Oryzias latipes: one gene and its partners. The protein of the gene in region 1 interacts with the protein of each later gene in a pairwise test. Links are inferred from orthologs where the notes say so. Each region holds a gene or a part of one and is shown in the gene's direction. Other genes may lie near its edges.

Region 1 (3,500 bases):
AGCTTTATATGATTTGAGATCATTTACACTTTTTAAAATTTCTCTTCTGGGTGAAATAACCCAGTGATTTTACTGAAAAATGTTGAATATTTTTATAAAATAAATTCAACTTAATGTTTTAAATATTTGATATTTTCACTCAGACCAGACGTCCGTCTTCTAAACCCAAACAAACAACATTAAACGACAATGAGCTTTATTTCTATGTGTAGAGTAGTCGGATTACTTACAAACATATTTAAGTACAAAACATTTAACCAACTTTATTAACACCTAGTAGTCTAGAATCTGTTTTAGATTTTATTTCTACTTTACAATTTGCTCTAATAGTAATCTTTAAAACTGTTTTTTTTTATCGATCTACAGTTTTTTAAAATATATTTTTGATTATATTAAACAATATTTCTTCAATTAACCTAATAATGGCCAAATAACAATTTTCAAATGTTACATTTCTCTCTTTTTTTTAACTGCAAAAATGACTCAATTAAGATCAAACCCCTTTTGTGTAAATCTAAAGACAAAACAGTCAAAAAATGAGGAAAATGTCTAAATAAAACAGATGAAGTTTCACAAAACTGTGTCCAATGTTCCAAAGAGGATCAGTATTTTGTGTCATAACTTTTGGTCTGTTTGTTTTCAACCACAACTTTACAAACTAAAAACATCCTGAAGCGTCACATAAAATTTTGAATGAAAGCTGCACTCAATGGGGGGGGGTCAAAGTCATTCCTGCATCAATGTAAAGTGACAAAGGGATCAGAAAACTCAGCAGTGAGTTCAGAGACACATCCAAAGAAATCCTTTAACACTGCAGACTCCTGCTAAACTCTTCTTCATGACATGTAAAAATGTAAAGAAACATATATGTATATATATATAGCAAACTTAATGTTCATAAAGAGCCACAGAGTTTGAGCTGAAACAGGTTTGATATTCTCCCTCAGAGTGAACTGGAACACTTTTGGTTCACATTTCTGAGGAAAACCTGCCGCCTCGTTTTTGAAAAGAGTGGAGAAATGTTCAGACCGCCTTAAAGAGATTCAGATGTTCGTTTGAAAAAAAGGCCCACAGGTGTGCTTTCAAAGTAACGCAGCTCCTCGGCCTGAAAGCACCTGTAAACCACGGCTTGAAACATGTCAAACGCTCCATAAAGCCTCTGAGTGCAGCTCCGCCTTTTGGTTTCAATTACAGACGTGCACATGGCCACCAAGAGCACCGTCTGCCACCTTAAATCTACTCACAGACTCCAATCAATCTCTCTGCGGCCTCAGCGTGTGCGTAAAGGGCCGGCGGCTCCGGCGGCGCACACGTGTGACCTCGGTTTGTCAGCAAAAATATACAGCAGGCTATTGTGAGGTAAATATTGCCCACATCACGTCTGGCAGCGGTGGAGGATGTGTGAGCAGCAGAAGAAACGGCAGGGGGGCAGAAACCTCTCCTGTTCAGGGTTTAAACTGGTTCAAAGGGAAACGCTGGTTTATGTCTCTGAAGCATTTATGTCTGAGGAACAGTGAAGGTTTAGGAGGTCAAATCTGCATAAATGGTCTGAAATCCAGAATCATTTAGAAATGTATTTAAAAACATCAGAATGGGATTTTTTTTTCATCTGCTCCTGATTCAAAATGAACTAGGAGCTGCTTTTCCAGAAGAAAATGCAGGGTTGAAGGTTGTATTGCTGAATGAAAATGAAACTTAAAGGAGAATAATTGGCACACACAAAAAAAGAAATGATCAAAGTGGACCATAAATAAAGTGAAAACAGCACAATAACAAAAAAGATATGTTTGTGAAAAATACCAGCGAGTTTCTGCACCAAGGATTCCCCATTTATTTAAATGGAGGCAGAAATCCTGGAATATCTAGAAAAGTTCACGGATTTGAAGGACCAAAAGTCAGAGCTGGAAAAAGCTGAAAGAGCTGAACATTTGAATAGTTGAATGGTTGAAATAGATGAACCATTGTTGAAGGAGTTAAGCTGCAAAAAAATGGTGGAAGATCCTCGAATAACCCTTGTGCTATCCTAGGCACTTTAACATTGGGAGTGGGGTCATCTGGACCCCACAAGACAATGCGGCGAACAAGCTACCAGCTGTCATGCCGGGTCTAGATGACCCCACTCCCAGCGTTAACGTGCCTCTAAGCCACGTCAACGTAGGGAGTTGGGTCATTTAGACCCACTAGACAGTGCTCTGAACCTTTTTTCTTCAATGATTTGTGATCTTCACTGGTGTCCATGGATTACATGATATCTTTCCACCTTTATCCACCTTTGTCATGGTAGGGAGAACACCTCAATGGAAGGGGGGGGGGGTCATCTGGACCCCATAGGATAGCACAAGGGTTAAAGAAAGAAAAACAGGAAATGCTTTATAGCATTCAATCCATAAATACTCAAATGCAATTTTAATCTTAATTTTCTTTGCATGTGTCCTTCATCTTCACAAAACTGCCACAATTATGTTAGAAACACCATTTTCATGGGCTTGTGTCTTTATGGACCTCAGGAGTTTAAACTGAAGCTTTTATTTCTTTAGATTCTGTTTTTTAGACCGTTTGCATTTTCCTTTTGAAGCCTCAGTTTAAGGTGGTGGTGGTGGTGGTGGTGGGGGGGGTCAAACAGAAACCTGTTTGGGTTGAAAATCAGCTCCAGAACATTTCACTTCATGGGTCTCAGAATGACACCCTCCCAAAATAACGCCCCCCCCCCCTATTAGAGGGTCTCTGCTGCCACTTGAGACGGACTAACCGCTCGATCATCAGTCCGAGGCGTTACTGAATCTGTTGAGTCGACATGCATGGGGGGTCAGGTTCCAGATGTGGCAGCACCTTTCCAAACGTGTCTCTGCTTGTTTGACCCCCCCACAGGTGAAGGTGTGGTTCCAGAACCGGAGGATGAAGTGGAAGAGGGTGAAGGGCGGCCAGCAGGGGGCGGCAGCGCGCGAGAAGGAACTGGTGAACGTGAAAAAGGGGACCCTGCTGCCGTCGGAGTTCTCTGGCATCGCGGCGCTGCACCACTCCACGGACTCCTTAGCCAACGAGGACAGTCAGGACAGCGACCAGAGCTCCGAACACGCCCACTTATGATGCACTCACCCCACCCCAACCAGGAGAGGACCCTCCTCACCAGGGCTGCTGTTTGCTGCCATCGTCGCACAGCGATGCTAAACAAGTGTACAGTCGAGAACATTGACAAAAGAAAAAAGCTTGTCGTAAATACTAACGTGTCAAATGCATTATGGGTAATCCTGTTAACATTCCATGCTGTGTTTGGAGAAGCAGCTTTGATTTGCACTGTTGACCCACAGTCTGCAGCTCCGATGGCTTTCTGCTGTACAAAGGGTCAAATATTAGCGGGATAGACGGAATCGAACCCGCCCCTTCAATGGTAGCGATCTGTACATATTTCTCAGCCTTACGTTGGTGATTCGATGCCTTCCTGTTTGGTTCCTGCATCAATAAACGGCGACAGCTCTTCGGCTGACACCTTTCTGCCCCCT
Region 2 (3,973 bases), on another chromosome or scaffold:
ATAAGAGTCAATATAACCTAAATTATATACAATATGACCCTCGTCTACATAAGATGTTAAAATCTAACATAAAAGTCCATCCCATTCATCAAATGCATTTATTTGATTCATTAAATACTTCAAGCTGCCATAATTTTGTTTCACCACATCTAAGGTAACCATTTACCTCAATTTCACCGACTTTTGCGATATGCATATTGCACAGCTCGATAACCATAAAGCTGCGGTATATTGTGCCGCATAACTGAGATGCTTAAAACTGAAGCAGATGTGGTCGTTTTCATTATTTGGCTGGTTTGTGTCCGTAAAGAAGCGGATGGTTTTGGGGGTGAACTCCTCTGTCAAAGCAGAACTCACCTGCATAGAAGCTCCTCTCTGCTGCTGTGCAGAAACTGCCTGAACAGGATGGACCCCTAAAGCCGGGAAGATAAAGCCTGGGAACCTGCAGGGATGGAAACACCTGGATTAATGCGGACTATCGGAGCGCACCGTTTATTCCCAACCCTGTCAACGTCTCTGCACCTCTGACACAGCTCAATAATCTTATCAAACTCTCCCACGTGTTCAGCAACGGCCAACACCGCCAACAGTCCCGCCTGCACGGAAATGAACGAGCTGTGTTAGATTCACACAAACAAACACAAGACAACAAATCTCTGTCTGAGCGCTTTTCTCACCTTCTTCGCGTTCTCGATGACCTCTTCTATGTCCTAAACCGAACACGGACAACATTTATGCCTCTCAAAATGCAAACTATTAACTTAAATCACGCATTTTCTCTCCTACCTCATCGAAATCTCTTGCAGAAATGTGACAGTGACAGTCGACGTAGCCCGGCATGTTTACGTTTGTCTTCTTCTTTGACCCGTCTGCGTTCAAGCGGCTTCGCTGCTCTCTGCTGCCCTCTACTGGCTGCAACTTTTCGTTTCATAACTGTCTAAATTGAGTCAACAGTTGCTTAAACAAACAGAAAATATAATATTTGTATTTATCAGTTTAGTTTACATGCATTTAAGTTGTTTTTGGTATTTTTTACGTTTTTCAAATGTTCGTTGTCTGAAGAAGAAAACTGCGCATGCGCAACAAAATCACTTTCCAGTGGCATAGTAACTAGTGACGTTTAGTAAATGGTCGAATTTTTCTTCGATTTGATTGGTTGAATCTCAGCAGTCTCGTTTCAGGAAGTTTTTTGTTTTGACTTTTTTAACACCCCTTTATTTGTCATGTGACAGAAGCAGGTGTTTGTCTTCCACATCATATGACGGGGAAGCCGGAACTTTCTGCACTGTTCGCATCGGAATGGGCGCTTTTCCCGCTGTCCTCGCGCTGCTGCTGCTGCCGCTGTTGACCTACAGCAGGTACCAGCCCACCTGGGAGTCCATTGATTCCCGCCCGCTGCCGGGCTGGTACGACCAGGCGAAGTTCGGCATCTTCATCCACTGGGGGGTTTTCTCTGTGCCCAGCTTCGGCAGCGAGTGGTTCTGGTGAGTGGTTCCGGTTCTGAGCAGAGCCGCTCTCGCGTAGTTCGGGGAGGCTTCGGCCCCAACTAAGATCCACCTGGTGACCCACCGGAGGAAAACCATGATAGAGAAACCAGGTCAGAGCCTTAAAAAGCTTCGGGACAGACGATGGAGATTTTCAAAATTAAATACTCAAAAAACGATGTCGGAAATACAGTGAAATATGCTGAAAAAAACTGAAATTGAGCTTTTAAAAATCAGAAAGCTGAAGTGAAACTAAATAATGCTGATGAATTGAATGACTGAAAATAAATAGCAAAAAGTGCAAAACTATCTTATTGCATCATAGTTGTAAAACATCATATTGTTCAGCCAAAGGGAAGGCAATTTAAAGTTTTTATCTACATTTTTGTTATAACTAACATTTGAAACCAAAAGACTCAATGATTTTTATCTGTGAGTCAACAGTTTTGCCATTGAAATCTAAATAAAAACAGCATCATTTAGCCTTCTTTAGCTAAAAGGAGGTTATAACCACTTTAAATCTGAATATGATCCTTCACACACTGGCAGTTATGCTGCAGCTCTGGAAGATCTGAACTTCCTGCAGGAGGACGGTAGACTCCGCCCACATTGTTGTGTTTCCAGTTCAGTCTTATGATCAGGTGAACATTCAGGTTTGCAGTGGTTAAAACTTTCCTTTGGTGTCAGAATTCATTTGTGACGTAACTGCAATGGTGAGGGAATTTTGTATCCAGACTTTCCTTCTTTATTCTGAAGCATAATTATTGGTTGTTTTAAGTCTGAGTCACCCCTACGGGGGGGGGGTTTGACTCGTCGACTCGGGTTCTGTTAGTTCTTGGGCTGTCTGGGTTCATGGAGGGGCTACATCTTAAAAGGGGCGCAGGTGCGTCTTCCAGTTCTGGCTCATATGGCCACAGGGACATCACGAAAATGGACCGTACCATTTTTGTTCGTGCATCGTTGTGACTCCTTCAGTCACAGGAACTAAGGTGCTTTTGTTCTGCAGGTACTACTGGCAGAAACAGAAGCAGCCGGCGTATGTGGACTTCATGCAGAAGAACTATCCTCCAGACTTCAAGTATCAAGACTTTGCATCGTCCTTTACCGCCGAGTTCTTCAATGCTAAAGAGTGGACGGACATCTTAGCATCTTCAGGAGCAAAGTACATCGTTCTGACCACCAAACACCATGAAGGTAGGTCAAGGAGGCGCCGCCGACCGTCCTGACGGTTCCTGTCATGCAGGGTTTGTTTGTCTTTCCCAGGTTTCACGCTCTGGGGCTCCAAAGTCTCCTGGAACTGGAACGCCGTGGACGTGGGGCCAAAACGAGACCTGGTGGATGAGATTGCGAGCGCCGTTCGTGCTCAGGGCGACATGCGTTTGGGGCTGTACCACTCTCTGTTTGAGTGGTTCAACCCGCTCTTTGAGCTGGACGCCGCCAACCTCTTCACCACCAACTTCTTCCCCACCAGCAAATCCCTGCCAGAGCTTTACGAGCTGGTGGTGAAGTACAAACCGGAGGTGCTGTGGTCCGACGGCGACGGGGATGCTCCCGCCAAGTACTGGAACAGCACGGGCTTCTTGGCGTGGCTCTACAACGACAGGTGAGGTCCAGGTGATGCAGCTGAGAGTCTACTCACACCAGACAATCAGAACCAGAGCACGATGTTCTGCATCCTCCAGAGACCACAGTACTCTGCCATTTAGATCTTCCACCAGTGTCTGTCTTTAGAGATGTTAGCTGTTTGGTTTTTAACACGGTGGGCGGGGCTACGTCCCTGAGCTTTTAGTGGCATGATCTGGAGCACCTCTGTAAGCCGGCCTCGGTACGGTTCACTTAACCGTGTCTGAGTTCAGACCGGACCGATCACAGCAGACAAACCGACTGGACTTGAGGGTCAGACGGGACCGGGTACAGATATTCTGTGTATCAGACTGTTGCAGGCGGGCTGGTTCTGTGGTTGGCACAAGGCTGGACCCTCTGGCTACTGTGGCAGAGAGAAGGACACTCAAAAAACTATCGGGTATCCTGGACAATGCCACCCACCCTCTGCACACGACCATCAGTAGCCAGAGAAGCACCTTCAGCAAGAGGCTGCTCCTCCCAAGGTGCAGCACTAATAGACTGAGGAACTCCTTTGTCCCCCGGGCCATCAAACTCTTTAACCACCACTTAGGAGGGGGGAGTGGGACAGAAAGGAAAGGGCCTTGATTGACTTTCTTAAATGCTGTTTTGCAGAAATGTAAACTGTCTTTACTGTTTTTACTTTTCTGATTATTTCTAATAGTGCTGTATGTGATGGAGATGTCAATTTCCATGCGGGAACCTCCCAAATGGACAAATAAAGTTCTCTCTCTCTCTCTCACTCACTCACTCACTCACTCACTCACTCACTCACTCACTCACTCACTCACTCACTCACTCACTCACTCACTCACTCACTCACTCACTCACTCACTCTCTCTACTGACTCCCGACAGTCCTGTACG
Region 3 (4,162 bases), on another chromosome or scaffold:
TGGGATGGTCGGTTAGCTGGGTGAAAGGTTGGTTAAGACTTGTGCTTGGTGACCGTCTCCACCCACAGCTTTAAGCTTCTTCCATTGCTTGCACTGCTGTGCAGCATCCTGGTCCACCTCACCTTCGCTCTCAAAAGGAAGGTCAGCTGCAGCAAGTGTATGAGTGTAAATGACGAAGACTCAAGAGGAACGGTGAGGTTACAGGGAGCGTTTGCAAAAGAGGTGAAGCGTACAAGAGTAGGAGGAGGTGGTTTCAGGTGTGACAAAAGAGAGTCGGCAAAAATGAAATGATGGAAAAAGAATGTTGACGTTGAAGCCACCAGGAAGGAAGATTAGAAGAAATCAAAATAGAGGTGAATTATGATCCACTGTGGTGATCCCTGAAGGGAGCAGATGGCTCGTACTGTAAAAAACATGGACAAAGTGTGTTGATCCATTACCTCTTGATAACATTGAAAAGAAAATGTGATCGTAGGGAAATGTTCGGATGATTTCACATTTGGGTGTTAGCTACCAAGCTAATGGCTAATATGCTGCAAACAAACCAAAATTCCGGCGATAAACCTCGTTAATTCAATATTAACATGTTAAAGGAATGTACTCAGGTACTCACTTGCTGTAAAAGTAACTAGCACTTTGTAAAAGTAAAATAACACAGGCGATGGCAAATGCTATGTTGCAGCCACAACGCATGCGCACAAAATAAACATTGCGTCAAAACGACGCGACTTATCATTATATTTTTTGCGACGTTTTATCTAGACTAAATGGGAATTATTTGCATTTATATCTACTTTAAATATTTTTTTTTAATTTTTGTTTTATTTTATGCCCCTAAAAATTTATTTATTTTATTTATTTAATGTTTGAATTGAATTTTGAATTGTTTTATAACCATTTGAATAAAGCTTGATTTTCACTCACACAAACTTTTTTTTAGATATTTAAAATACATTCTATTTTTACAAGCCACTAAACACACACACACACATATATATATATATATATATATATATATATATATATATATATATATATATATATATATATATATATATATATATATATATATATATATATATATATATATATATATATATATATATATATATATATATACACACACACACACACACACACACACACACACACACACACACACACACACACACACACACACACAATATCATCATGATGCATTGGATTATAATAATTTTATTTTTGCAAACATTCAAATATTAATGAAAATTGGTTTTAAATATGCTATTGAGTTTTATTGTTAGTTTAACCAAATATTTATTCATCAAAAATATAGATTATAACTAGAACAAAGGATCAGTGTCTGTCTAGAATCAGTGCGTGTATAAAACTACATTTACCATGAGCACAGAGGTCAGAACTGCGCAGCCGTGGTTTTGATAAAGCATGCTGGGTAAAAATTCTCCCTCTTTCCGGCTGGTTCGCCATCATGTAAGCGAGACTTTTCTTCCACTACTGAATTAAACAATCCGTCTAAATCCTCCCGTTTACCTTAAAGCCTGTACTTCATCTTTGTGACACAAACAAACAACCTTTTAATAAAGTATAATAGCGGACTATTTTTGTAAATAAAAGTCATCTTATTACCCTAAACGGTAGTGCTAGCGCTGTTAGCTTCAGTCCTTTCGCCGAAGCGGTAATGTGTTATTGCGGGGATTCAAACGATCAGAAGACACTGAAAAGACTTTAGGCTTTAAAACAGTCAAATTAAAACAAGTTTCTCTGATATAGTTCTTTACTGCAGGAGTTTGTGTCTGTGAGGGTTCTCTCAAACATAATCACAGCTTCTATAGTTGTTGCTAAAAGCTTTTTTTGCGTCTCGTGCTGCAATGAATCACCTAAATACTTAAGTTTTGAAAGTGTCAATTCACTTGCAGTTTGCCATCATTCTTGTGTCTTTTATGAAGGAATAGATTTGTTGATCTATTTGGTTTCTCCTTGTTTAGATTAAGTCACCATGGGCGCATATAGATATATGCAGGAGTTATGGAGGAAGAAGCAGTCTGATGTGATGCGCTTCCTCCTCCGTGTCCGCTGCTGGCAGTACCGGCAGCTGTCCAACCTCCACCGTGCTCCCAGACCCACCAGGCCCGACAAGGCCCGTAGGCTGGGTTACAAGGCCAAGCAGGGTGAGTGCATCATCGTCCTCCTCAGTATCTTTGTGTGGTACCCATCTTAACCCCTTTGCCCCCCCCTCCTAAACAGGCTACGTCATCTACCGCATCCGTGTACGCCGTGGAGGCCGCAAGCGCCCCGTGCCTAAAGGTGCCACGTACGGCAAGCCAGTGCACCACGGAGTGAACCAGCTCAAGTTTGCTCGCAGCCTGCAGTCCATTGCTGAGGTTAGTTGATGTTCTGGCATATTTTCTGAATGACGGTACAAGCAATTGATGTCAGATCGTTCCTCCATAACTACATGTGTGACTATAGGGAGGACGTCTTGCTTCTGGGAAGAATTGGTCAGGTGTGATGAGAATCTTTATTTGTAATGAAACAGTTTAATTTCCAGGATTTACAGCATTTGCCGGAGTAAACATGTATGTGGTGTCTGTCTCTCCCCAAAGTTCCACTGCCATCATCTATTGATCTATTTTCCCTGTGGTATTTTAGTCATGAATATGCAGTTTTTAGTCAAAATCCAAAAACTTGTGTTGTTATCTAGTACACGGGTTCTGCAGAGTGGTAGTAGTTCATTAGTAATTACCCCTGACTTGTGGGCAGGACTGTTGGTGTGGAGTAACCCCGCCCCCTCCCTGTTGCTGAGAGCTGTCTGTTTACACGGTCTCCAGCTAGCTTACAGCCTCTCGCATCGCCAACTCGAGCTAACATTACCGGTGCAACAAAAATGGCGAGCAATATTAGAGCTATCAGCCATTCAGTTTTGAGCCAGCTCAGGTGAGGAGAACAGACGTACATTAGAGCAGCCAAGCTCTTTTTCATCTGCTCCTTAGCCACAACAATTAAAATAAAAAAAATACTTAGAAATGCAACTTTGAGCTTGATTTATGTCCACCATCATCAGAAAAATGCAGCAAGAGCTTGTTAAAAACACCAAAGAACAGTTTTCATCTTAGTCAGTGGGTCTAAAGGTTTCATGGGGGGAAATGTACGATGTAATCTCACGGTTTTTTATGTTTTTATTTTTTAAAGCAGCCTACGCTGCATTTTTTAAATAATAATTGTGTCAGACTTCATTTTTGGTTTGTCTTGTGGTCACGTATAAGGCGATGAAACTCTGCCTTTGATTAGATATTGGCTGAAGAAAATAACCTAGATTTTTGTCAGAAGACGGACTCAGATGGGCTGTTCTGGTTTCGTGTGAGAACTCCTCATTCTCTGCAGTCAGTAGCAATTGTGTGAACCGTTCGACATAAAGTGTGTGAACATCTGGGTTTAGGATATTGTCGTGACTCCTGTCTGCAGCAGAGTTAGAGCTTTTAGCTGCAGCTCGGTCTTCAGGTCAACTGTGGGCATGAACTAAACTCTCAGGTTGTGCTGTGTGAGGACGCTTCACCGCCAGAGCTGAACAGATGTTCATCTGCACAGTAGACAGCTGTGGATGAAACATCTCCTTGGAAAACAATCTGAACTTGATCGTTGTTTCCACGTTCACAAATGACTAGGAAACGTGCATCAGTGACTTGATGGAGTCCCAGATTGAAAACAGATTGGCTCTAAAAGTGCGTTTAGTGTTGAAATTCTGTTTTGATGTTTGCTTCACCCTGGGACAGACTGGTGACCTGTCCAGGGTGCCCCCTACCTTCGCCCACAGATGGCCGGGATAGGCTCCAGCAGCCATGTGACCCCACAGGGGAATAAACGGAAGAAGATGAATGTTAGCTTCATTACCAGTATTATCTGATTGGAAACCTGAGGCTGAACGATCTTAACGAAACCTTTTCCTCTTGTGGAGGTGTTGTGTGTTCATGTGTTCACTTGAATAATGAGCTGTAGAAGTTGGGTAATGATCAGGCTTCTGTGGTTAGATGAACATCTTGCTGTAGATCATTTAGTTTGAGTTCCTGAGCCTGTTGTCTCTGGACCTTCTGATGAGCTTTGGAGAGCTAACGCAGCTTCACCTCCATTTTCAGGAGCGTGCTGGTCGTCACTGCGGAGCCCTGCG
Region 4 (4,293 bases), on another chromosome or scaffold:
TTTCACGATTAAATTGTGCAATTTTGCACCTTTCGTTTGAAGAATGTATGAGGAAGGTTGCCTCTATAGCTTCATTTTAATTTTTTAAAGTATGTCTTTTAAACAAATTAAGATTTTTATTTCCTTTACAGTAGCAAGGAAATGCGATCTACATGAATAACAATGGACATGTGGCTTAATCGTCTCCTATTTCTCGCTATTATCGCCAAGGGGCGACATATTCCTCCACAATCTGTCCATTTCCCTCTGGCGTTGTCCTGTTCTCGTCCCGGGGTTAGTGACGTCACAACCAGGACCGGGGATCAAGCTGAACGTGAATATCAGAATCAAACCGGAAATTGAGGCGGAGTCCTAACAAATAAAAGCAGGCTCGATTTAACAAAAAGATTCTGAAAGTTAGCATGAAAAAAGGAAAATAACCAAACTAAGGTACGAGTAAACTATAAACAACATCAGTTCACCAACAGACATACATGTAATTTTACATGTAATTTATATGTAATTTTACATGTATTACATTTAGGCCTGCAGCCTTGCTTCAATGACCATTAGGTAAATACACTTCTGACCGTTAGCAGTTGGTAAATAAAAGATTTTTTTTTTACGTTTTGAATTGCATACTCATTTACCCACATCACAAAGGATAAAGTGTAACCATAGAGCAAAACAAAACAAAATACGATTTTAAATGGATAGGGATTGACCAAAAAAGTAACTTGTTGATCTTTCTATTTTATTTAATTCTTATGAAAATTTTTCTGGATTAAATATTTGTTGTTTGATGCCATCATATGGACTTCAAAAGAAAAGAAAATAGTAAACTACATGGAACTGCTGTTAGCGAAACTGCTGAAACATCTGCAAAATGATAAAAAACACCTACACTTCAAACACATATACCGTTAAACTGTGAAGAACCTCTTTTTAGATGTTCCTCACCCAGACAGATATTGGCAAATGAAAACACATTAATTTAAAAAAAGAATAGAAAGAATAAATGTTTCTGCTAATATTCCACATTCATTTGGTTTCAAAGTTTTCTCTTCCTAAACATTCGTATCATCTTTTCTTTACATTTTTGTATGCTGTTGCTAAGATTTTCATTTTTGACATTTAAAATAGGTCAAATAGACGACAAAACACCTGAAGAAGTACAAGTTGAATATGTCTAAAAATGTACTATTTCAAAAAAGAAAAAAGTTAATTATATATTAAATAAAGATAGTAGTGGTGAATAGACAATAAAGCAATAATAGTACAGTGTACATTTTTGTTTATCACAGGCATAAAAATGTGGAAAAATGCACACGTTTGTTATCATGAACAATATTTAACCATATTTAATTAAACTGTGTTTTCTGACTGCATTTAATATTTTTCAAATTTCTAATATGTAATTTTAATTTACTTGTTTTTGCAAAAATTGTACTTTTTAATTGAATTTGCCCTGTTCAAACCTAGCTTTATTTTGAAAAATCGGAACGGAAGTGAAGAAGTGTGTATCTCCTAGCTTGAAAGGAGGCTGATCGAGGCGGAGGCAGTCAGCCTGCGACGGAAAAACAAGCGACAACACGTCGAACAGTACAGGTTTAGTCAGTGTTTGAAGAAAGAAAATGAGATAAACCAGAGGAGATGAGGACTTAAACGAATTTTTTTGTCACTTTGACGAGGGTTTGGTCACTTATTATTGTTGGACCCGCGCGCGCTATCCCTGTGCTGTGACGCTTGTCTGCCCATTCTGACTGGAGTGAACACTAAGGTAAGGTAAGCCTGAAATACACAACTGTGTGAGTTGCTTCTGCTTACATTACTCTTTCCAGCTGCGCGTGCCGTAGATTGAAAGGGGTTTTATTGGTCTACAGAATTATGTGTGGAGGTTTTCCTCCGTAGTGGGAGTGGGAGGCTCGGAGTGTCACTTTCTCGCGTTGAGACGCTTGGTCTTTGTCCACTCTGACCACAGACTTGGCTCGAATCTCGCTCCAGTGTTCGCGAACCACTTTTTAAACCCCCACAATTGTATAAATTTGTTTAAATTCCCACACTTAAAATCATCAATTAAAATGTTCACTAACAACATTTGTACTTTTTCGGTTAGTAAATATTAGAGGGGCCTGACTCACAGACCATGGTCGGTGGTGGTGGATTCCAGGCTGTGGTCCGGCTTTGTTTAAAATAGTTTCTTTTAACTTCAGTTCTACAATTTCGTACTTTTTTGCGTGGAAAACAATTTCTGCCATCATAGGTGTTTGGTTGGTGTGGTTCGAGATCCTGCTGACAGCGCTACGGCTCACACAATGAAGCACACTTGCCAAAGAAGCAGCAGAAATCGGCCGGGCGCCTGGTGCCACATGCCGAGCTTGTCAGTGCTCCTAGCGGCCGTTGGTGGGAACTGCACCATGCTGTCGCCTCATCAGCCCCTGTGGATCAAAGGACGCCTTGTCTGTTCTCTCACTGACTTGATGCTGGATATTTTTGTACATTTTATTTTAGATTTAGAATTTGGGTTTTCAGATTTAAATCCAGGTGTTTAAAGGTGCTGAAAGTTCTTGCGTGGTTCAGGTAGACTTGTCACACCTACTGCAGACACACCCTGTGCAAAGCGCTCTCCCGGTCTACAGTCCGCACTGACAGGTATGAGGAAGGAGGCTGCAGGTCCTGTACTGCAGAAACTCCCGTTGCATCATTTCCTTGGAATTCGATACTTGGAGCAGAAATGTTGTTTTAGAGATGAATTTCCACCCCCCTCTATGTTTCTGACACCATTCTCCCTGTCAGCTATTAATAACTCACTCTGATGAAAACTGTGGAGTTTTTTTAATATGTTCTTGTTTTTTTTTTTCATGAGGGAGGACATACATGAAGAAAATTTAGATATAAAACTGCATTTATGAGTATTTCTTTATTCAGATCGTTGTGAATCAGGAGCCGATGAAAAATTACTGTCGGAAAAAGCTTGTTGCTTTGACGTAGGCGTTTACAACGGCAAGCCACAAACTCCCTGCTCTGCTCCATTCTGATGCCTCCACTAGTACACGACTGTGCATCTTCGTTGACCTCGTCTGAGGTGGAATCTGGCTCAGAACTGTACGGCTGGATAGCTGCAATATTGCCCGCCCTTTTTGTGAAACCCCTAACGTTAGGTTGGGATGTGTGAGGGGCTCTAAGCTAGCGGGAGTTAGTGTAAACAGATAGATGACGAGATGTGGGGGTGGGCTTTCTCTGTGTGCCCACACCTCAGAGGCAAATTTCTGATGAACTCCTGCCACTCTGCATAACTATGTCCTAGAAAACGACACAGATTTTTTGATTTTGGCTAAAAAGAGCATCATCACGCTTTTACAGTAGATCAAAAGATGATCAGAGTTTGACTTTAAGCTATGTTCTCATCGCCCTCGGCAACATGTTTTTCAAGCAGACACCTTCGATGAGAAGTCTATGTAAACACTGTTTTATGGGCTTTTTTGCTCAAAACTCTTGTGTTCATGCCTGGCTACGCAAGTTTTTATGACAATGAACACGCGTTGGAAGTTAAACCAGGTCGAACTTTGACCAATCAAGGACTTGGATTTTGGAGTGACATATATATGGTTTCCTTTGTAATTCACGAAAGTGCCAACGGTTTGAAAGTTGATCATGAAGGAGGAATTAATGATTGTGGTTTGTGCCCGGCTGGAATTCTGGCATCAAGTCTTTAATATATTGGAATATAGCTGTCAAAGAAAAGACAAAAAAATAAAACCTGGAGCAAGATTTACCAGATTTGACTTTTTGCACCAAACCTTTTCTAGTACATGGTAGAAAAAGAAAAAAAAAGGGTACTTTAACATGCATTAAATGCATGGTGTGTATTAGAGGTCCAACGGATCACGGATGACCCTTGATGACCCCCCCCCCCCCCATTTAAATCGATTGTCCGTTCAAACCAAAGACAATTTGTGCGTCAAATTCAATTAATTTGAGTTAAAATAACAAAAATGAGTTTTTTACAAATACATCATATTGTCAACAATCACGATTTTGAATATGTGATTTAGAAAAATGTAAACAATAATTACTGTATTCTACTATGGATGTATTGTGAAGCTTCTAGGAGTGTGAATTCTACATTTAGGTTTTAAATATTGTTTTCAGAATTGCCTATTTTTATTCATATATTAAATGGATCCGTTTTTTAGTTTTTAGTCGTTTCTTTTAAAACAAACCCGATCTTTCCTGTCATCTTCTTAACCGTTTATTCCCTTTCGGGGTCACGGGGTTGCCGGAGCCTATCCCGGCCACTTGGGCGTAGGCAGG
Region 5 (4,155 bases), on another chromosome or scaffold:
TTGTGCTATCCAAGGCACGTTAACGTTGGGAGTGGGGTCATCTGGACCCCACAAGATGGCCCATGGGTTAAGGGTGCAGTGATTCCAACGGAACCTAAAACCAATAAGTTCTGATTTACGGTCATGATGCCTGCTCACACCGTCCTCCTGTAGAGATTAACACGTTTGACGTCTCGGTTCCTCCCTCAGACTCTGGGGAGTCCACCTCCACCCTCCCCCAGTTCCCCATGTCCTCTCCGTCTTCTCGCTCCGCCCGCTCGGTGGACTACAGCGAGGACCACGGCGTGCCCAAGCCCTGCCAGCGCTTGCCCCTCTACGTGGACTTCGAGGAGATCGGCTGGTCGGGCTGGATTGTGTCGCCGAGGGGCTACAACGCCTACCACTGCAAAGGCTCCTGCCCGTTCCCTCTGGGTCAGAACATGAGGCCCACCAACCACGCCACCGTCCAGTCCATCATCAACGCCCTGAAGCTGGTCCGAGGCATCGAGACGCCGTGCTGTGTGCCGGACAAACTGCACTCCATCAACCTGCTGTACTTTGATGATGACGAGAACGTGGTGCTGAAGCAGTACAACGACATGGTGGCTGGGAGCTGCGGCTGCCACTGACCATGAGCGCGCACGTGCACACGCACACAGCCAGCATCACTCTGAGGCCGCACTAACAGGCAAACCTGAGCAAAGATTGTAAAATATGTAAATATTCATAAATATTAATATATGTTTATGACAGATGTGTTATTTACACAAATGTAAATGTGTATATTGTGTTTTCTGCTGAGTGGGATTGTAGTTTGAATAAAGGTCAAATGACAGAATGTTTTTTTTGTTATTTTAAAAAATCCGCTCAAATGATAAACATGATAAACTTTAAACAATTTAAAAAATGCATTAGTAAACTGAATTATGATTCATACCATGTACAAAAGTATTATTCATTCAGGTGAATAATTGTTGGGAGCCTGCTGTTGCCAGGTTCCCCCAGCAGAGGGCGCCGCTGTGCTCTGAGAGGACAGAGCCAGTCAGTCACCTGGTGCAGGTGAGGAGGTCAAAGTTACCTTCAGAGGGGCAGGTGAAGCTGTCTGAATAAAAAGTTTAAAGACATTTTTTAAATTTACTTTGACTAAAAGTTTTTCTTTGCAATAAAGTTGAATAGAAAGTGAATCTGAACCGTCGTCTCGGTGACTTTTGACCTCTTGTCAGCCGAACTTCAGCAGAACCGCGTTCTTGATTCACAAGCACACCCATCAGACAAACACACTTAGGACGCTCATTGAGTTTCCCTCTGTGTGTGTGTGTGGGGGGGTTCAGGTCAGGTCTCCGCGTCCCTCAAACATTCGCCGTTTGCATTGATCAGATGCAATAAACCGTTTCTCTGCAAAAAGTCGTCCCAGCAGGCCGTCAGAGAGGATGGTAACCTGATCGGGGAGCGAGGCGTTGGCCGTGCCGTGGCACTAAAGGGTTGAAACCACTTGGCACGGTGCTCGACGACAGCCCTCATTCACTGCCACACGGGCTCCTATTCAGCACACAGAACCATAAACTGCTGCCATTATAGTGGCAACCAAAGGGCCCGGCTGCGACCCGACACCCGATCTCCTCTTTGGCTCCGGCCTCCTTTTGTGCCAGGATTTCATATCTGAACTGCCCTCCATAAAAAGCCCTCCAGGCTGCAGCCATGGACCTGCTGCTCCAGGATGGGAAGTAAGCAGAGCATCTTCACGGCACAGCAGCTGGATGCCTACCAGGTGGGTGGAACACCTCCTGAAGACTTCCTCGTGTCTTTGAAGACCTCCTCAGCGTTGTCATTAAACAACTTCAGGACATTCAGGACATAGAAGTTCTGGATTCTGGATCCTGCAGGTTCTCTGAACATCAGATTTGACTCATCAGGAATTATTCTGCTCCTGTTTCATTCCAGACTGTTTGACAACAGGACCCGACAGAATAGAATAGAGTACATTCAATGGTGCGTTAGCATCATCAGAATAAAAACAACAATAGAAGCAGATTAAAGCCAGTATACATATGCGTACATGTGGGCGTGTCCCGGCGTCTCAAACGCTGAACACCTTAGGAAGGTAAACCACCACAAAAACAAATCTGAACTGTGCTGCTGATGACTCCAACCTAACTTTAGCAGCAGGAAGGTTGAAGATGATGAGAAATAAATGTTTGATGAAGACGTTCAGGGCTGCAGGGTCTGTGGGGTCTGCTAACCTGTCCTGGTCTCTCAGCAGGACTGCACATATTTCACCAGGAAAGAGATTCTCAGGTGAGCCTTCACATGTCTGCATCTTATTTCTGTTGGTTTTGTCTTGAATGCTGTAACTTTTAAACACCATCCTGCTATTGAGACTGTTTTTTGTCTTCAAATCAGCTTCACTGGCTGTCCTTTCAAAATACAAGTCTGGAAACATTTATTTTGAAATTCTTTCTATGTTCTCTCTAGATTGTTCTACCGGTACCGGGATCTGGCCCCACAGCTCGTTCCTCTCGACTACACCAAGGAGCCAGATGTGAAGCTACCATATGAGCTGATTGGCAGCATGCCCGAGCTGAAGGTAGAGCCGCCGCCGCCGCTCTGCCACCCCCCGCCCGCCCCCGTCCCCATCCCCATCCATAATGCACGAGCAGCTAATCGACAGAATTCTTTGAAAGGTTATCCGTTACATGACTCCCTTAAACTTGAAGAATGCCGGTGGGTTCCAGAGGGCAGGTCAGTTGTGCAGCTCTCAGGTAAAGTCAGGTGAACAGGTGTGGCCGCTCAGAGTCCAGAGACCCAACCTCCATCCGAGCCTTTCCGTCCTTCGACCTGTGAAACGCTTTGTTAACCAGACCGTCTCTGGTGTCGGTTCGGTCCAGGACAACCCGTTTCGTCAGAGGATTGCGGAGGTTTTCTCTGAGGATGGAGAAGGAAACATGTCGCTGGACGACTTCCTGGACATGTTCTCCGTTCTCAGCGAGATGGCGCCTCGGGACCTGAAGGCCTACTACGCTTTCAAGATCTACGGTAAAGACTTTTCTGACGCTCGTCTGGAGACGTCCCTTCAAACCTCTTCCAGATTCTTTTGGTTTTCAGTTGAACATTAGGGGCAAATTTAACGGATTCAGACCTGAAAACCACCAAGTACGGCCCCTAAAGCCGGATCAGGTGTGTCCAGGTGATCAGCTGCCAGTGGGGCATTAATGCAGACCCCCGAGGCCTCGGGGGTCTGCATTAATGCCCCACTGGCAGCTGATCACCTGGATCAGGTATGTCCAGAACATATCTGAATGTTTTAGCGGCTCGTTTCTGACCCCAAAGCTATGAAACAAACGTTTGATTCTTCCCCAAAGACTTCAACAACGACGACTTCCTCTGCAAGTCGGACCTGGAGAAGACGCTGACCAAGCTGACCCGCGGCGAGCTGGGCGAGGACGAGGTGAAGATGGTGTGCGAGAAGGTGATGGACGAGGCGGACCTGGACAACGACGGCCGCCTCTCGTTGGAGGACTTCCAGCACATGATCGTCAGGGCTCCAGACTTCCTCAGGTGAGCTCAGGCGTCGTGTGGATCGACGCTGCTCCATTAAAGCCTGTTCTGATCCGGTTCTGGTCTCTCCACAGCACCTTCCACATTCGGATCTGAGGAGCCAGAACGTTTGTCTGAAAACTGTTTTTCACCATCTGGTCTGTAGAAAGTAGTCGTCCCAAACCCTGACCCGCCGCCGGACGGAGCCGCGGTCCATCGGCCGTCCCACCAGGACCCGGCTCATTAATTATGACGATCGGCAGCAGATTCCTTTCATATCTGAAGGGGTTTGGTTACACAAATATAAAGAAGCAGCAGCGCACAATGCAGCGCCGAGGGGAGGGCCGCTGGTCATCGGAGCAGCTCCTGGGGGGCAAACGAGGGCCGACGTCCATTCAATGAAAACAACGCTCACAGCTTTCATCTTCTTCTTTTAATAAAGCAAAAGTACACGTCTGTACAGAGCGTAGATCCATTCTAGACGGGTTGAGACAGAACATGGTGTGTTGGGACATATTTACAGTCTCTGACCCAAACTCTCCTCGTGTTACACAGAAGCAAAGCAGATGATCATGTTCAGTCTATGAAGCAATGACACGCGTGTGGAGATATGTTCACAATGGGGACGCATGGATGTTGGAA
Region 6 (4,081 bases), on another chromosome or scaffold:
GATGAACCTACACAAAGGACCCCCATACTTGAACTGCTGCAGGAGCCCAAAAATAATGGTGTAAGTGGCTTTGTGTTGTGGGCTTTTTGTGTAGCTGGCTGAGGTGATGACCTACCTTGTCAGTTTTTGCTTGGTGAGTGCTCTATGCCCCCCCAACTTCCACCCGCCACTTCGGTTGAAGCTGGCTGAGCGGTGGCGGTTCTCTCTCCTGGTGGGAGAAGGACTGGAAACCCGGAGGTGGGATGTTGAGGCAATGTTGTCCTCAAAACAACGGCGGTATGAAGACATCCTCTCCGGGCTTCGGCTCATGGTGGCTTTTAAGTTGATGCAACTGTAGTTGGAAACTGGAAATGGAGCCTTTGCTTCTTCTGTCAGTCTGAGGAGGTGGGGTCTTTATACACTTCTTGGCCCTTCCCCTAACACTACAGTGAAATGCTGAACCCTTCCATACCAAGTATGAATGCCTGCACAGGCATCTATCAACAACAAGCCAAATAATTTGGCCTATAGGCTGTTGAAAGAACATTGTGCTTCGAATGATGAAGGACTTAATTAATTTTGAAGTAAAAGCTGAATTAAACATTACTTTCAAATGTTAAGTACAAGCAAAATGAACAATACAAACTGATTTTTAGTTGTCTTAATTACAATAAAAACAAGTAAAACATTTGAAAAAACAGAACACCACTGACTTCACGAAAGGCTAATTGAAATTAAATAAATACAATAGAATACAATTTCCTGTTTTTCTATAGGGCTACGTAATTTGTTTAGACCAAAGAAAAGATGTCTGCAATCGCTGATCGCTAAATCGCTAAAAGTCAAAAGTCCTTAATTGCTGCTTTTTGTTTTTTTAATATTAATAGACTATATTAGGTATAACCCTTTACACAATGTAGAATAACTATAGCCAAAATAAAATAATTAAAAAAAAAAACAACTTGTAGTTGACTTAACCACAAACAAATATGGTATAAAAGCTCTAGTTACCCAAATGCTTTAATATTCAATTGAGTTTAGGAGATAATCAATGAACCCTTTGAAATAAAGGATGCTATGTTTATTTGACCACTTTCTTTATTTCCTTTTTCCCTTCTGTTGCTTGAAAACCTCATATACTAGCCTCATCACATCTACTTTAAACGTCTAAACATGGTAAATGGCATCTTAAACAATTAGTTTTATAAATGTTTTAATCATGCAAAACATGTGAGTATACCCTCTTTGAAGTAATCGTGTTTCCCGACATTTACAGGAGACTGCGGAACCAATCTTTGGGCTCGTCGGAACGTTATTCGTGATACACCAGCTCTGCCACTTTAATTACTTTTCTCGCTGTCTCCGCTCTTTTGTTGGTTAAAAAAAACACAATTTTCCTTTCTGTAAATTTCTACCTCAACTGCAGTGATGGCGGGTAACTTTTGGCAGAGTTCTCATTAGTGAGTTTTTGTTAAAATAATATCGACGTTGTGTGTGTTTTTGTCGTAATCATCAGCCGCTTCGCTTGTGAGGCCTAGCTAGCTGCTATTTTTGTTCTGCGTTGAAGCTAACAGTTTACTTATAGCATTGTGGTGTAAAAATAACACTTGGGGAACACACTGTAACTAAAAATGTGGACTTTCTTTCCTTTGAGCTCCAGCAATGGTTCTTGTTTTCGTTGTGTTTTGTTGCCGTCACGTCAGGAGCTTGTTACTGTTAGTCAAGTGAATTTGACCCGTTCAAACGTCTGTATAAATTTATCATATAAAGTAATCTTGCTTATCTTTTAAAGTCTGCAGTGGGTCTTGGACAAACAGGACCTCATAAAGGAGCGCCAGAAAGACCTGAAGTTTCTCTCGGAGGAGGAGTACTGGAAGCTTCAGATTTTCTTTGCAAATGGTGAGTTTTTTTTCTAATACATTCATGCAGGTTTTGGGTCTGTTTCCGGGTCTGTTTGAAAACATGAGAAAATCTTGAATAGTCACGAACAAAACCTAAATCACACACTTCAACTAATGTTTTTCATTTGGTATTTTTCAGTTATCCAAGCTCTGGGCGAACATCTGAAGCTGCGCCAGCAGGTCATTGCTACTGCGACTGTGTACTTTAAGCGCTTCTACGCCCGGTAAGGAGCTCGAAACGCTTTTTCCATAAGTTAAGCTGTTGGTATTTTACACGTTTGTGCTGACAGCTCATGGAGGGTAAAGTGTGAACATATTGGGCAGCCCTAATGAGATTACATCAGTGTTGATGACAGTTTCATTTCTGCAGAGCATCAACAGCTTTTGTGTCCGGGAGCGGATAAGTTGGTCTGGTTTATTGAACCCTGTAACAAAAGGCTGTCGACATGATGTATCAATGAGTAAACAAAGGAATGTTTACTTTTGCTGACATTAGCATAACAGTTAGGAAGGCAAAAAAAACAAAAAAAAAACTTTCCTCTTTTGTTTTAAATTCTTTCCCTTAACTATACTGTGCTTACTACCCATGTAGCCATGATTATCTTTGGCTACTCTTACTTTTTGACGTCGTCAGCATTTCTTTCCATGATCTGTTTGTTTAATATTTAAATACCTTGTGTCATTTTGCAGGTATTCTCTGAAGAGTATAGATCCGGTGCTCATGGCTCCCACTTGTGTGTTCCTGGCCTCTAAAGTTGAGGTATAAATTTGGTGGAATCATCTTTAACATTTCATGTTACATTTCATTTTTAATCATAAGTGAGACACATTTTAGGGTCTTTAACTGCTTCTTTAGTACACACGATAATCTGTTTTGTATTGCTTATTTTCCTGTAGGAATTTGGAGTCGTGTCCAACACCAGATTGATCTCAGCCGCCACCTCTGTATGTAAGTGACCCACATTGTGGATCTCAAATTTAAGTTTTCCCTGTTTTCATTTGGAGTTTCCAGCAACACAAATTTTTTTTCTTCTGTTTTTTTGTAGTAAAAACAAGATTTTCTTATGCCTTTCCAAAGGAGTTTCCTTACAGAATGAATCATGTGAGTAAAACACAGTGGAAGTAATCCGATTACGTCTGTGATTTTATGAAAAAGTTAAGAATCATGAACAAATCTGACGATGCAGAAATGTGACGGTAAACAGTAAATGCCATCAAGGTTTACTGGTTTAAGTTTCAAGAAGGTGAGGTCACATCAAACTGCTTCCTCTGCAAAGTTATTTATGTGCTGCATTGCAGCTTACCGAGAAGCCTTCAGACTGTATCACAGTGTTGCCACATTACTGCCTATCAGTGCGTTAGATTCCTCAGCTAATGTTCACACTCTGCTGACAAAAAAAAAGTCAGTCAGGGGGCTTGCTGCTCAATGCTTTTGCCTCGCAGATCTCCAGAGTTTCCAGAACAAGACGGCTCTGACGTAATGCTATATAAGCTATAAATTACGGAGGGGGGGGGGTTCAGACGGCAGAGATTGAGGTAGCAGAGGGCCGTGACTCGTAAACATCATTCATCTTGTGGACATTGGACACTTAGTAAAAGTGTGACAATGATGAAGTGCGAAGCTGTTAAAAGCAAACAAAGTCATCATCTGTACAGCAGGAGGTCAAAGGCCAGTCTGATGACGAGACTTAATAAATAAAAATGAATTCACAAATTTTGGGGGGCATTTTCAAAGTGAAAACATGATTAAATGTCTTTTTGAAATAATTCTAAACCTCTTTTTTTTCCCCCCAGATTCTAGAATGTGAGTTTTACCTTTTGGAGCTAATGGTGGGTGGAAATCTAGATAAAAAGGATGAGTTGTTTCATAGAGAGAAGAATTGATCCTTGATTGGCTTAATTTTTCAGGACTGCTGCCTGATTGTGTACCACCCCTACAGACCTCTGCTGCAGTATGTGCAGGACATGGGGCAGGAGGACATGCTGCTGCCCTTAGCATGGTACGTTCTGCCTCGTTTGAACAAAACCCATTGATGTTAGCTTATTTTTCCGCTGGAAGGCTTTGCATTGTTTTCTGCCTTTACCAGGCGAATAGTGAACGACACGTACAGGACAGATCTGTGTCTGCTCTACCCTCCCTTCATGATAGCTTTAGGTAAGAAATGCCTCTTAGGTTTTGAAAGTAGAGCAGTTTAACTCAC
Region 7 (3,997 bases), on another chromosome or scaffold:
CCTTCATTCTGACCTCTTTTGTGTTTGTTTTCTTCAGTTGACATAAGATGCTGTAATGTTGGCAAAAAAGAAAAATGTAAAATCCTGTATCATTTATGAAATATGTATAAAAGAGAAATGTAATTCAATTATCAATAAAACTCTTATCCAGTTTTTGGAAACACTTGTCCTGATGACGTTTTTTTTGTTGTTGTTGTGTTTGTTTTTTGGCAAAGAGGAAACATTCAAGGTCCAGAGGATCTGCTGTGATCCTGCCTGACCTCCAGCTGCTTCTGTGCAGGATGTCCTTTAAGATTAACCTGTTCATTTGAAAAAAAAACAGCGAAAGAAATGAAAAAAAATAAGTTATTTCCTTGATTTGATAGAATTTGAATAGTATTACACTGAATTTTAGAAATAAAACATGCCTCTTAAAGAGCGTTCAGACTTTCCAACATGACTAAAATGCTTAGTTGGAAATTATTTTACTACGAATTTTTCTTTTATCTTCACTTTTTTATGGACTGATGTTGTTGTTCTGCATGTTTTCTAAATTTAGGAAAAAAGAAAAGTGACCCTAATGAAGCTCCAGGATATTGTCTTTAAAGTTGTGCTAAATAGACATCACATGAAAAGTTTTGCAGATATTTTTTTTATTGGATCTCGGCCCCCATCATCAAGAAACTCAGATTTATATTTAAGAAATAGTCATATGTTGTATTAAACCAAAAGGTCTGATGTGTCCTGTAAAAAGGTAACATGGAGCGACAGGATTTCCCTAAAAAAAGAGTGATTAGTATTTCTGAACCACAAATATTCTTTTTTTTTTCCATGTCATTGATCCTGCAGCTTCAGATGTATCTGTACCTGTAGGCACAACGCTACAGAGGAGTGAAACAACATCGCTTGAAACTCAACAAAATGCTGGATCTGCAGGGATTTGTAGTCCTAAAACATTTGTTTTTACTCATAATCTCAGTTTAAACTACTTCTTATTAAGAAATGTTCAATTTTCCTGACAAACAAACAGACAGCGAAATGTTGTTCTTGTTCCTCCACAGCAAAGACGGTTGATGTGATGGTTGGAGTGTGATGTCACCTGCTAATGTACGTTTCCCTTTTTGGAAGGAGGCGAAGTGGGAGGGGCTTCAGAGTTCAAAACAGTGGGGGCGTTTGATACAGGGGTCAGGGTGAAAAAGAGCAATGAAAAAAACAGAGAGACTCATTTAACACCGTGTGGTCAAGGTTAGCGGCTGCAGTGTTGGGTTTGTGGTGGGATTTCAGAGAGGCGGCACATCATGATGCTTCTGGTATTTATCAGTCTACTGCAGGAAGCCTTTGCAGCTCCAGGTGTAGGTGAGTTCAGCTGTTCTTACACCTAATCATGCACATTTATTCATTTATATTATAAAAGTTTTTTTAACGTGGTGAGAGTCAAATAAAGGGGCATAAATGTGTTTCAATGGACAAACAATGTTCTGTTTTTGTTCTCCGTCCTTCAACATGCTTTTAAATTGAAAATGCTTTTATTGTGACCTTTTGATTTTGTCAGTAACATTATAGGATCCAGCTGTGTCTGTTTGTGATCTGAAAACGAAATAATTGTGCGCCGTTTTCAACTGAAAAACATTTTTATAAAAAAAGGTAAGATGTCTGTCTGATCCTTTTTGGGCAGATCCTTGTTGGTTTCAATGCAAGATTAAATAAAACCTTAATTTTTAAGCATTTCTAAATATATTTGGCGTGTGTAATTAGCCCCAATCTGACAGTGTTTATCTCATGAGAATGCCTATTACTGCAAAAAGAGGCAGCTTTAAAACAGGAAAGAAAATAGGAAGAAAATTACTGGAAAGTAATAAAATTGTCTGTTAAATCATTTTAACTCCACAAGAAATTATGAAGTATTAAAATCTAGTTCCACACAAACATTCAAATGGGAAAAATAAGATAAAAAAGTTAACTCCTCCATAGAATTACTTCAAATGAAATGGTTTACAGGCCAATGATAAGTATTTTTGGCTTGCTCTAAGCAAATAGTTTGTATTTTTGAGTTTTTATGAACCTACTTTCAGTTCATTTTGATTACAGTGAATAAAAACTAGTGGAAAATAGTGGAAACGACCATATAATGTGAACTAAGTGTCGATTTTAGTATCAGTTAGTCCATCTTAATAAATCCTCATGAAATCTAAAACTAGCACTATTTCTGAGAAGATAAATCTAAATTTTTTTTTTCAAAATCATGACCATGAGTGCCAGTCTAAGGTTTATTGCACTTTTAAATAACATCCTTAGAACTGAACCAAAAATTGCAAAGAAATCTGAGATTTCCTATTAAATCAAGTTTTTCTGTTGTTAAATGTAAAGACTTATTTTTTTATAATAATTTTCTTATTTCTAAATCTAAATGAGACAAAAAAAATCTCAACTGCTGATTTTGAGAAAAGCTTGGAAAAGTGTGAAAGTTAAAACAACAGAAAACCCGGTAAAATATCTTGAATGTCAGGTTTGAAATCTTTGCAAGGACCAAATAGTTTCAGCCTTAAAGAGTATTTAAACCTACATGTTCCTTAAAAATGCAGATTTATTTTGATTCCATGTCAGTTAAAGGCAGCTCCAGCTGTTTGGGTTCCATATGCTCCAAGACCCAAGTTCATCATTTGGTGACTGTTGTGACCCGATTTCTTCTCGTGGGCCTTTCATCCGCTAAAGTCAGAATCAGAAGAACAAGGTCGTTTTTCCTTCACATGTTAAGGTGTTCCGGTCCCATCTGGAAGATTCAAAGCTCGCATTAACATGCACCCACATGAGTCCGCTCTGTCCCATCTGTGCTGTTGAAAGTGGAGCGGTGTGGGTCAGAACGCTTGTTGATGTTAGCAGAGGGTCTAGGCTGCACAGAGCCTGCAGGGGCTCAGCCTCATGATGAACAGAAAACTGAGGTGAATAGCGATAGGAGGGGCACAAACCTCAGCTCCACATGTTTCCAGGATACTAGAAAAACACACTTTCTGAAGTTAATTAGAAAAAGGTTGATAACAGTAGAGGTTAGAAAAATGATTCCAGCGTGTAGAAGGGATGCTGACTGCTTTCCCTTTCACCGGTGCTGCCTGTGCCCCACATGTCACCTCGTGTTGTTTTACACCTGTGTCTTAATTACACCGTTGATGGGCCATGAAGACAAGAGGCACTATTGATTGTTCTGTTGCGCCTTGTTTTCCTCTTCCAGTGCAGCTCTTTTCCCGATGCGCCACCGCTGCTCACATGTGAGAAGAGCTGATGCAACTTTCTGACATCACGCCTGTAAACGGGTTGAAAGGCGTCACCATTTTTCGAATATGCTGCCATTAAAACAAAAAAAAAGAATCTCCCCAGATTTGGATTGTTTTTTAAAAGATGGATTCCGCTATCAGGATCAGAATTACAGACTTATACCTTAACCAGTACAAAAAGGGAAGAAAAGCCAAACAAAAACACATTTTAAACCTAGTTTGGGTTCATAAATTGTAAATATATATACTTATCCTCCTGATTACCAATTTTGTCCAGTTAAGTTTTTTTAAATCCACCAAAAACCCACCTCTTCACATTTGGTACGATTAAAAAGGCCCAAAATTCCTCTGATACCAACAGAAGTTAATCAGTATTAGTATAGTAGTTTGGAACTATTCACATTGAGAAATGTCCTCTACAGATGACACATTTGCACTGGTGGTGGTCATTAGGAGATCACCAGTATCCTAAACATAACCATAAAAATCCAAGTACAGCCGCCTGCAGCATCAACTAGCCCGTCCTCGCCCTCACAGACCCCTCCCTACCCGCCCTCACTAATTAAGTAGATTCACACGCCCCTCCCCCCCCCCCCCCCTCTTTTGTCCTACTGCCTTTTCTATTGGCTCTATCTCCATAGCAACCATTTAATTTTTTGGTCGTCTGAGGGGGACGAAGAGGTCTACGTAACTTTTAGAAGTTTCGGCAGAAGTAAACTTTTGGATTTCCTTGGCAACTGAGGTTATTT

Evidence for each region.
Region 2: the proteins of meox2 (region 1) and fuca2 interact in binary tests that used the Homo sapiens proteins (3 or more experiments, as listed by UniProt). The two-hybrid records come from large-scale screens. The link is inferred for Oryzias latipes from reciprocal best matches to the Homo sapiens genes MEOX2 and FUCA2.
Region 3: the proteins of meox2 (region 1) and rpl15 interact in binary tests that used the Homo sapiens proteins (3 or more experiments, as listed by UniProt). The two-hybrid records come from large-scale screens. The link is inferred for Oryzias latipes from reciprocal best matches to the Homo sapiens genes MEOX2 and RPL15.
Region 4: the proteins of meox2 (region 1) and nck2 interact in binary tests that used the Homo sapiens proteins (3 or more experiments, as listed by UniProt). The two-hybrid records come from large-scale screens. The link is inferred for Oryzias latipes from reciprocal best matches to the Homo sapiens genes MEOX2 and NCK2.
Region 5: the proteins of meox2 (region 1) and cib3 interact in binary tests that used the Homo sapiens proteins (3 or more experiments, as listed by UniProt). The two-hybrid records come from large-scale screens. The link is inferred for Oryzias latipes from reciprocal best matches to the Homo sapiens genes MEOX2 and CIB3.
Region 6: the proteins of meox2 (region 1) and ccnc interact in binary tests that used the Homo sapiens proteins (3 or more experiments, as listed by UniProt). The two-hybrid records come from large-scale screens. The link is inferred for Oryzias latipes from reciprocal best matches to the Homo sapiens genes MEOX2 and CCNC.
Region 7: the proteins of meox2 (region 1) and oit3 interact in binary tests that used the Homo sapiens proteins (3 or more experiments, as listed by UniProt). The two-hybrid records come from large-scale screens. The link is inferred for Oryzias latipes from reciprocal best matches to the Homo sapiens genes MEOX2 and OIT3.

The regions. Positions count from the first base shown.
Region 1 is NC_019874.2:31,196,853-31,200,352, reverse strand, and holds part of meox2 (homeobox protein MOX-2), read left to right. Parts: intron 1-2,868; coding exon 2,869-3,087; 3' UTR 3,088-3,500. UniProt on the Homo sapiens protein: Mesodermal transcription factor that plays a key role in somitogenesis and somitogenesis and limb muscle differentiation. Required during limb development for normal appendicular muscle formation and for the normal regulation of myogenic genes.
Region 2 is NC_019880.2:1,087,285-1,091,257, forward strand, and holds the start of fuca2 (plasma alpha-L-fucosidase), read left to right. Parts: upstream 1-1,173; 5' UTR 1,174-1,299; coding exon 1,300-1,484; intron 1,485-2,490; coding exon 2,491-2,678; intron 2,679-2,747; coding exon 2,748-3,087; intron 3,088-3,964; coding exon 3,965-3,973. Other genes in the region: putative deoxyribonuclease TATDN3, read right to left, coding at 358-442, 523-596, 678-710, 787-840. UniProt on the Homo sapiens protein: Alpha-L-fucosidase is responsible for hydrolyzing the alpha-1,6-linked fucose joined to the reducing-end N-acetylglucosamine of the carbohydrate moieties of glycoproteins.
Region 3 is NC_019869.2:17,918,289-17,922,450, reverse strand, and holds the start of rpl15 (60S ribosomal protein L15), read left to right. Parts: upstream 1-1,362; 5' UTR 1,363-1,470; intron 1,471-1,985; 5' UTR 1,986-1,996; coding exon 1,997-2,168; intron 2,169-2,244; coding exon 2,245-2,381; intron 2,382-4,130; coding exon 4,131-4,162.
Region 4 is NC_019879.2:10,283,133-10,287,425, forward strand, and holds the start of nck2 (cytoplasmic protein NCK2), read left to right. Parts: upstream 1-1,493; 5' UTR 1,494-1,764; intron 1,765-4,293. UniProt on the Homo sapiens protein: Adapter protein which associates with tyrosine-phosphorylated growth factor receptors or their cellular substrates. Maintains low levels of EIF2S1 phosphorylation by promoting its dephosphorylation by PP1.
Region 5 is NC_019875.2:30,516,009-30,520,163, reverse strand, and holds the start of cib3 (calcium and integrin-binding family member 3), read left to right. Parts: upstream 1-1,355; 5' UTR 1,356-1,696; coding exon 1,697-1,747; intron 1,748-2,239; coding exon 2,240-2,274; intron 2,275-2,451; coding exon 2,452-2,563; intron 2,564-2,864; coding exon 2,865-3,012; intron 3,013-3,338; coding exon 3,339-3,538; 3' UTR 3,539-4,155. Other genes in the region: bone morphogenetic protein 2-like, read left to right, coding at 190-608. UniProt on the Homo sapiens protein: Acts a an auxiliary subunit of the sensory mechanoelectrical transduction (MET) channel in hair cells. Plays a role in regulating hair cell MET channel localization and function.
Region 6 is NC_019882.2:15,128,172-15,132,252, reverse strand, and holds the start of ccnc (cyclin-C), read left to right. Parts: upstream 1-1,281; 5' UTR 1,282-1,407; coding exon 1,408-1,439; intron 1,440-1,771; coding exon 1,772-1,878; intron 1,879-2,019; coding exon 2,020-2,104; intron 2,105-2,570; coding exon 2,571-2,640; intron 2,641-2,777; coding exon 2,778-2,829; intron 2,830-2,926; coding exon 2,927-2,982; intron 2,983-3,674; coding exon 3,675-3,710; intron 3,711-3,788; coding exon 3,789-3,880; intron 3,881-3,967; coding exon 3,968-4,035; intron 4,036-4,081. Other genes in the region: glial fibrillary acidic protein, read right to left, coding at 1-36, 116-309. UniProt on the Homo sapiens protein: Component of the Mediator complex, a coactivator involved in regulated gene transcription of nearly all RNA polymerase II-dependent genes.
Region 7 is NC_019873.2:26,494,758-26,498,754, reverse strand, and holds the start of oit3 (oncoprotein-induced transcript 3 protein), read left to right. Parts: upstream 1-1,197; 5' UTR 1,198-1,277; coding exon 1,278-1,335; intron 1,336-3,997.